2 linked regions of the Saccharomyces cerevisiae S288C genome follow. The gene in region 2 interacts genetically with the main gene of each other region. Each region holds a gene or a part of one and is shown on either strand. Other genes may lie near its edges.

What was found. Genes that interact genetically often act in the same process or in processes that back each other up.
Region 1: mutations in PMA2 (region 2) and LEU3 together harm fitness more than expected from each alone (negative genetic interaction), as found in Saccharomyces cerevisiae (2 studies listed by BioGRID).

What each region holds. Positions count from the first base shown.
Region 1 is NC_001144.5:1,034,510-1,038,264, forward strand, and holds the start of LEU3 (leucine-responsive transcriptional regulator LEU3), read left to right. Parts: upstream 1-1,583; coding exon 1,584-3,755. Other genes in the region: hydroxymethylglutaryl-CoA reductase (NADPH) HMG2, read left to right, coding at 1-1,255. UniProt on the Saccharomyces cerevisiae protein: Factor for control of RNA levels of a group of leucine-specific genes.
Region 2 is NC_001148.4:481,214-484,968, forward strand, and holds the start of PMA2 (H(+)-exporting P2-type ATPase PMA2), read left to right. Parts: upstream 1-1,629; coding exon 1,630-3,755. Other genes in the region: EGD1 (Egd1p), read right to left, coding at 215-688. UniProt on the Saccharomyces cerevisiae protein: The plasma membrane ATPase of plants and fungi is a hydrogen ion pump. The proton gradient it generates drives the active transport of nutrients by H(+)-symport. The resulting external acidification and/or internal alkinization may mediate growth responses.

The sequences.
Region 1 (3,755 bases), on a different chromosome or scaffold from region 2:
ATATTCCTTAGAGAAAAAATTAGAGGACACAACTCGTGCGGTTTTAGTTAGGAGAAAGGCACTTTCAACTTTGGCTGAATCGCCAATTTTAGTTTCCGAAAAATTGCCCTTCAGAAATTATGATTATGATCGCGTTTTTGGAGCTTGCTGTGAAAATGTCATCGGCTATATGCCAATACCAGTTGGTGTAATTGGTCCATTAATTATTGATGGAACATCTTATCACATACCAATGGCAACCACGGAAGGTTGTTTAGTGGCTTCAGCTATGCGTGGTTGCAAAGCCATCAATGCTGGTGGTGGTGCAACAACTGTTTTAACCAAAGATGGTATGACTAGAGGCCCAGTCGTTCGTTTCCCTACTTTAATAAGATCTGGTGCCTGCAAGATATGGTTAGACTCGGAAGAGGGACAAAATTCAATTAAAAAAGCTTTTAATTCTACATCAAGGTTTGCACGTTTGCAACATATTCAAACCTGTCTAGCAGGCGATTTGCTTTTTATGAGATTTCGGACAACTACCGGTGACGCAATGGGTATGAACATGATATCGAAAGGTGTCGAATACTCTTTGAAACAAATGGTAGAAGAATATGGTTGGGAAGATATGGAAGTTGTCTCCGTATCTGGTAACTATTGTACTGATAAGAAACCTGCCGCAATCAATTGGATTGAAGGTCGTGGTAAAAGTGTCGTAGCTGAAGCTACTATTCCTGGTGATGTCGTAAAAAGTGTTTTAAAGAGCGATGTTTCCGCTTTAGTTGAATTAAATATATCCAAGAACTTGGTTGGATCCGCAATGGCTGGATCTGTTGGTGGTTTCAACGCGCACGCAGCTAATTTGGTCACTGCACTTTTCTTGGCATTAGGCCAAGATCCTGCGCAGAACGTCGAAAGTTCCAACTGTATAACTTTGATGAAGGAAGTTGATGGTGATTTAAGGATCTCTGTTTCCATGCCATCTATTGAAGTTGGTACGATTGGCGGGGGTACTGTTCTGGAGCCTCAGGGCGCCATGCTTGATCTTCTCGGCGTTCGTGGTCCTCACCCCACTGAACCTGGAGCAAATGCTAGGCAATTAGCTAGAATAATCGCGTGTGCTGTCTTGGCTGGTGAACTGTCTCTGTGCTCCGCACTTGCTGCCGGTCACCTGGTACAAAGCCATATGACTCACAACCGTAAAACAAACAAAGCCAATGAACTGCCACAACCAAGTAACAAAGGGCCCCCCTGTAAAACCTCAGCATTATTATAACTCTTGTAGTTTACATGGTGATACTTTATATCTTTGTATTGTCTAGCTATTCTAAATCATCTGCATGTAATAAGAAGTTGATCAAAATGACTCGCTGCGTAAAACCTCTCTTCGATCGGAGGTGCCGCCTAATTTATCGCCTAGCACTGCGCTTTTTCAAAGTTTTTCAGAGCAAAAAATGAAAAGTAATGAGCACAACAATAGAAGAGTATCATGATATATAAGGTCATAAAACTAGGTTTCAGGGGCTATCGGCAATTTGAGGAACCTTCAACCTGCCTCAAGTAAAAATCGCTTCGTAACATTAATACAAATTCTTTTTGCAATTATGGAAGGAAGATCAGATTTTGTGGCGACTTCACAGTCCGGAAGTGAAATGAGCCATAGTGAAACTAGGAATAGAACTGGGATGAATGCTAGGAAAAGGAAATTCGCCTGTGTGGAATGTCGTCAGCAGAAGTCGAAATGTGATGCTCACGAAAGAGCACCGGAGCCATGCACTAAGTGTGCTAAAAAGAATGTCCCATGCATTTTAAAACGAGATTTCAGAAGAACTTATAAAAGAGCAAGGAACGAAGCCATTGAAAAAAGATTCAAGGAACTCACCAGAACTTTGACAAATTTAACTTCGGATGAAATTTTGAAGAAAATTGAAGAGGAACAGGAAATTGTTTTGGATAACAGTAATTTCACAAAAGAAAAAGTAAAACAACTCAGGAAGAGTGCTTTTGAGACGACAGAAATAGAACCGAGATCATACAAAACACTTCGAGGAGAACCTATTTCTTACAGTACCAACAGAAGACATACGGATTCTTCTCCTTTAACGCTCTTAAGCTCGTCGACAAACTTCGACCCTGTTCACTCAACAAACGTTATGACAGATGATCAACTTAAGTGCTTGCCAAAAAGCCTGGGCGACGTATATTTGTCAAGCAGCGATATTGCTGAGCTGTTTCAAGAATTTGCGACAAAATATCATCAATTTTTACCCGTCGTTGACCTTTCGAAAGGAGCAGAGCGAATTTATCACTTATCTCCTTGCTTATTCTGGGTCATCCTGCTCATTGGTTTAAGGCGGAAATTTGGGGCTACAGACTTAATGACTCGATTATCAGTGCTAGTAAAGTCAGTTTTATCAGAAATCACAATATCTCCAATAATTCGATATACTCCATCAGATAAGGACGAACCCGTTCTAAATGTAGCATCTGTATATTCCGTGCAAGCATTTCTTTTATACACGTTCTGGCCTCCCTTAACCTCTTCATTAAGCGCCGACACTTCGTGGAATACCATAGGAACAGCGATGTTCCAAGCGCTTCGGGTAGGACTAAATTGTGCAGGTTTTTCAAAAGAGTATGCTTCGGCAAATTCAGAATTAGTTAACGAGCAAATACGAACTTGGATTTGCTGCAATGTTGTATCTCAAACAGTTGCATCATCATTTGGTTTCCCAGCTTATGTTTCATTTGATTATTTAGTAATCAGCTCTATTAGAGTACCAAATTCAAAAAGCCAAGTAGATATACCCAATGAACTAAGACAAATGGCTCAAATTGCTAGATTTGAGAACCAAATCGTAAACACAATGAACTCCACCCCGGCGAGTGTTACTGGGATGGTAAGTCAGGAAGAGAAGCAGCCCTTGTTACACGTTCTTAATCAACAACTAAGTCAATTGGAGATTAGTCTTGAAGAAAATAACCTAGATGATATCCGAAAATTTTTATTACTAGTGGCCAAGGTTCACTTATTAACCTATTACTTCACTGATGTTACCTCCCAAAGTGCTGGAAAATCAAATGGTAATATTTATGAGGGATCATATTCCATTATGGAACTCGATACAAGTTTTGAAACGAAACGTGGATTGGTGAAAGTTTATAATGCCGCCGTAAACTTTCTTATACATGCCAATAGTATGTGGGAACATGATCCTACCATTATTAAGTACTTTCCTGGTTTGTTTGTCTTGAATATATGGCAATCTGCCTGTATTATTAGTAAACTCATACATTCATCACTTCATTCAATGCTAGATGTTAACTCAGGCAAAAAAGCTTATAACAACGCAATTTCATTGACGTTTAATGCCTCAGTTTTAAAATATGATATGGCGTACAGATCATCCGGAATAATGCGAAGCATATGGAGTTTATTTGCTAATATGTATGATGCCTGGAAAAACGACCAAAAGGAAGGTGGAGGTAGACTAAATAATGATTTCAATTTAGGCATCACCATAAAATCTAGGATGTCAGTAAACGTTTTTTTTGACTGCTTATATATTCTAAAAGAGAAATGTGGTATGGCCAAATTGGAGAGAGAGACCAAGGTTTCTACAGCTTACAATGTTGATGAAGAGGAAGAGGAAGATGAAGATGAGGAGGGAGAAGAAGAAGAAGAAGAAGAAGAACTAAGTAGTAAAGTTCCAGAAAATATGGATAGCCAGCAACTAAGGACAAGGAAATTCACCAATGTAAGGCATCCAGAAAAG
Region 2 (3,755 bases):
ATTTTTTGCGCACAAAGTGGTGACGTACAAGTTCATCATTTCACGTGTGCAGCATAGTGTGGTATATTGTTTTTTTATATTTTATTTTTTATTTTTTTTTTTTTGCAGAAAACAGTGTTTGTATTATATGCTTTAGATATGCTAAAAAAAATGAAAAAAAATGGAACAAAATATGTGTTTTTTTATTTAACGTTAAAATTAAAGATTAAGTTATTTATTCGACGTCAGCATCAAAAGTTTGACCTTCAACTAACTCTGGAATAGCTTCATCCTTCTTTTCAGCATCAGCTGGAGCCTTGGCTTCGTGCTTTTCCATTTGGGCAGCCAATTGAGACAAGGCTTGGATGGCTTCAGGGCCCAATTGAGAGATAATACCTGGGAACAAATCTTGCAAGTTCTTTTCCTGTGGTAGACCGTAGAATACAGAAGTGTTGTGTTGAGCAGCAACTTGGACACCGACCTTGTTGAAGTGCATGACCTTACCGTCGTCCTTGAAAAAGTTGGCTTCGGCGACGTTGTCAATGGTGACAGCGTGCAACTTAGCTAATTGACTTTGCAACTTGGTGTCATCCTTGTTGGCACCGGCAGAAGAGCCTGCCTTCTTGTTAAGCTTTCTTCTAGTACCACCAACTTTGTTGTTAGCAGACAACTTTTGTAGCTTAGCTAATTTTTCTTGGTCAATTGGCATTATGAATTATGAGTCGCGTCTGGTGTGAGATGTTCTATTCTTAAACCTCCCTAGAAAGAATATTCGCTCTCTTGTGACAAAGGAGGGGTTACTACTTAACAAGCAATTGCAGCTGTTTCCACTACGAAATCTTCCAATGTCAACGAAAAAAATTCAAAAATTTTCTGCTTTTTTTTTCAACATCTGCCGTACTAAATGATTCCACAATAATCCATCATATACCATTACCCTGATTCCCATCGAAGAAAAGGCGGTGTCCCCTTACCCGTCCGCTCATGCCAAGAGATTAATTCATAACCGCTCTTCCTTGGATCAGAAGTGAACATATGAAGTTGCAACTACTACATACTTACTACCGTAGTCCATCATCAAGGACCCAAACATTCACGACTCCAGCGCGCCACGTTCTTCGCCATACTGCTTAACATTTTGGTACGAGTGCGAATTAGGGAAGTCGATGATAAAATAGAATATGCGAAAAAGAGGAAGAGCAGCCGTGAGAAAAAAGAAAAAAAAAGGCCTAAGGTATTCTCTACTCCAAAATCGTCGAGGGAGGGCAAAAGAAATTTTTTTTGTTTAAGGGAATTGCGAAGTCAATTGATTGATGAAGTAGCTTCTCTGGAAAAATGGCGGACAGACGCTGCTCAAATAACCGTCGAAGGGGGAAAGGTTATCGGTGGAAACATATTTGTAAGTACATAATAGTGAATTTACTTCTTGTCGGCGTCCCCTAAACGTAATTGGCGGTGTGATGGTACTTCGTTATATAAAGGTGTGTAATATCCTCTTTTACCATCTATTATTTCTTCCAGCATTTCTTGCTGGATAACCTACTGTATCCAAGCTACTGGGCTTTTTTAAACATACCCATAACTTTTTTTTTTTCATTTTTCGTTGCTGTGTGCTAGTACAATTTAAGCAAAAGGAAACTGTTTTGCGTTATGTCTTCCACTGAAGCAAAGCAATACAAGGAGAAACCCTCGAAAGAGTACCTCCATGCCAGTGATGGCGATGACCCTGCAAATAATTCTGCCGCTTCTTCGTCATCTTCGTCTTCTACATCAACTTCCGCCTCGTCATCGGCTGCAGCCGTTCCACGGAAGGCCGCAGCCGCTTCTGCCGCTGATGATTCTGACTCAGATGAAGATATAGACCAATTGATTGATGAACTACAATCTAACTACGGTGAGGGTGATGAATCTGGTGAAGAAGAAGTACGTACTGATGGGGTGCACGCTGGCCAAAGGGTTGTTCCTGAAAAGGACCTTTCTACGGACCCTGCGTATGGTTTGACTTCGGATGAAGTCGCCAGGAGAAGAAAGAAATATGGGTTAAATCAAATGGCTGAGGAGAATGAATCGTTGATTGTGAAGTTTTTGATGTTCTTCGTAGGGCCTATTCAATTCGTTATGGAGGCTGCTGCTATTTTGGCTGCCGGTTTGTCTGATTGGGTTGATGTCGGTGTCATCTGTGCTTTACTGCTATTAAACGCATCTGTCGGATTTATTCAAGAATTCCAGGCAGGTTCCATCGTAGACGAGCTGAAAAAGACGTTGGCCAATACTGCAACAGTTATTAGAGATGGCCAATTGATCGAAATTCCGGCTAATGAGGTAGTTCCTGGTGAGATTTTGCAATTGGAAAGTGGCACAATTGCTCCCGCAGATGGTCGTATTGTCACTGAAGACTGTTTTTTGCAGATCGATCAATCGGCCATCACTGGTGAATCCTTAGCCGCTGAAAAGCATTACGGTGATGAGGTGTTCTCCTCATCCACTGTGAAAACCGGCGAGGCTTTTATGGTTGTTACTGCCACTGGTGACAATACCTTCGTCGGTAGGGCTGCCGCCTTAGTGGGGCAGGCTTCCGGTGTAGAGGGCCATTTCACTGAAGTATTGAATGGAATTGGTATTATCTTACTTGTTCTAGTTATCGCTACTTTGTTGTTGGTCTGGACCGCATGTTTCTATAGAACGGTCGGTATTGTAAGCATTTTGAGATATACTTTGGGTATAACCATCATTGGTGTCCCAGTCGGTTTGCCAGCAGTTGTTACCACGACCATGGCTGTCGGTGCAGCTTACTTGGCTAAGAAGCAAGCCATTGTTCAAAAGTTATCTGCTATTGAATCCCTTGCTGGTGTTGAGATTTTATGTTCTGACAAGACTGGTACTTTAACCAAAAACAAGTTATCTTTACACGAACCCTACACTGTCGAAGGCGTTTCTCCGGACGACTTGATGTTGACCGCTTGTTTAGCTGCCTCTAGAAAGAAGAAAGGTTTGGATGCTATTGATAAGGCTTTTTTGAAGTCATTGATTGAGTATCCAAAAGCTAAAGACGCCCTGACCAAGTACAAAGTTTTGGAATTCCATCCGTTCGACCCTGTCTCAAAAAAGGTTACCGCTGTTGTAGAATCCCCAGAAGGTGAAAGAATTGTTTGTGTCAAGGGAGCCCCATTGTTTGTCTTGAAGACTGTTGAAGAAGATCACCCAATTCCGGAAGATGTGCATGAAAACTACGAAAATAAGGTTGCTGAACTAGCTTCTAGAGGTTTCCGTGCTTTAGGTGTTGCTAGAAAGAGAGGGGAAGGTCACTGGGAAATCTTGGGTGTTATGCCATGTATGGACCCCCCTAGAGATGACACCGCTCAAACAATCAATGAGGCCAGAAACCTTGGTTTGAGAATCAAGATGTTAACCGGTGACGCTGTTGGTATCGCGAAAGAAACGTGTAGGCAATTAGGACTTGGTACAAACATTTATAACGCAGAAAGGTTAGGTCTGGGAGGTGGAGGTGATATGCCTGGTTCAGAGTTGGCTGATTTTGTTGAAAATGCCGATGGTTTCGCAGAAGTTTTCCCACAGCATAAATACAGAGTCGTTGAAATCTTGCAAAACAGAGGTTACTTGGTTGCTATGACTGGTGATGGTGTTAACGATGCCCCATCTTTGAAGAAGGCTGATACTGGTATTGCTGTCGAAGGTGCTACCGATGCTGCCAGATCAGCCGCTGATATTGTTTTCTTGGCCCCTGGTCTCTCTGCTATTATTGATGCCTTAAAGAC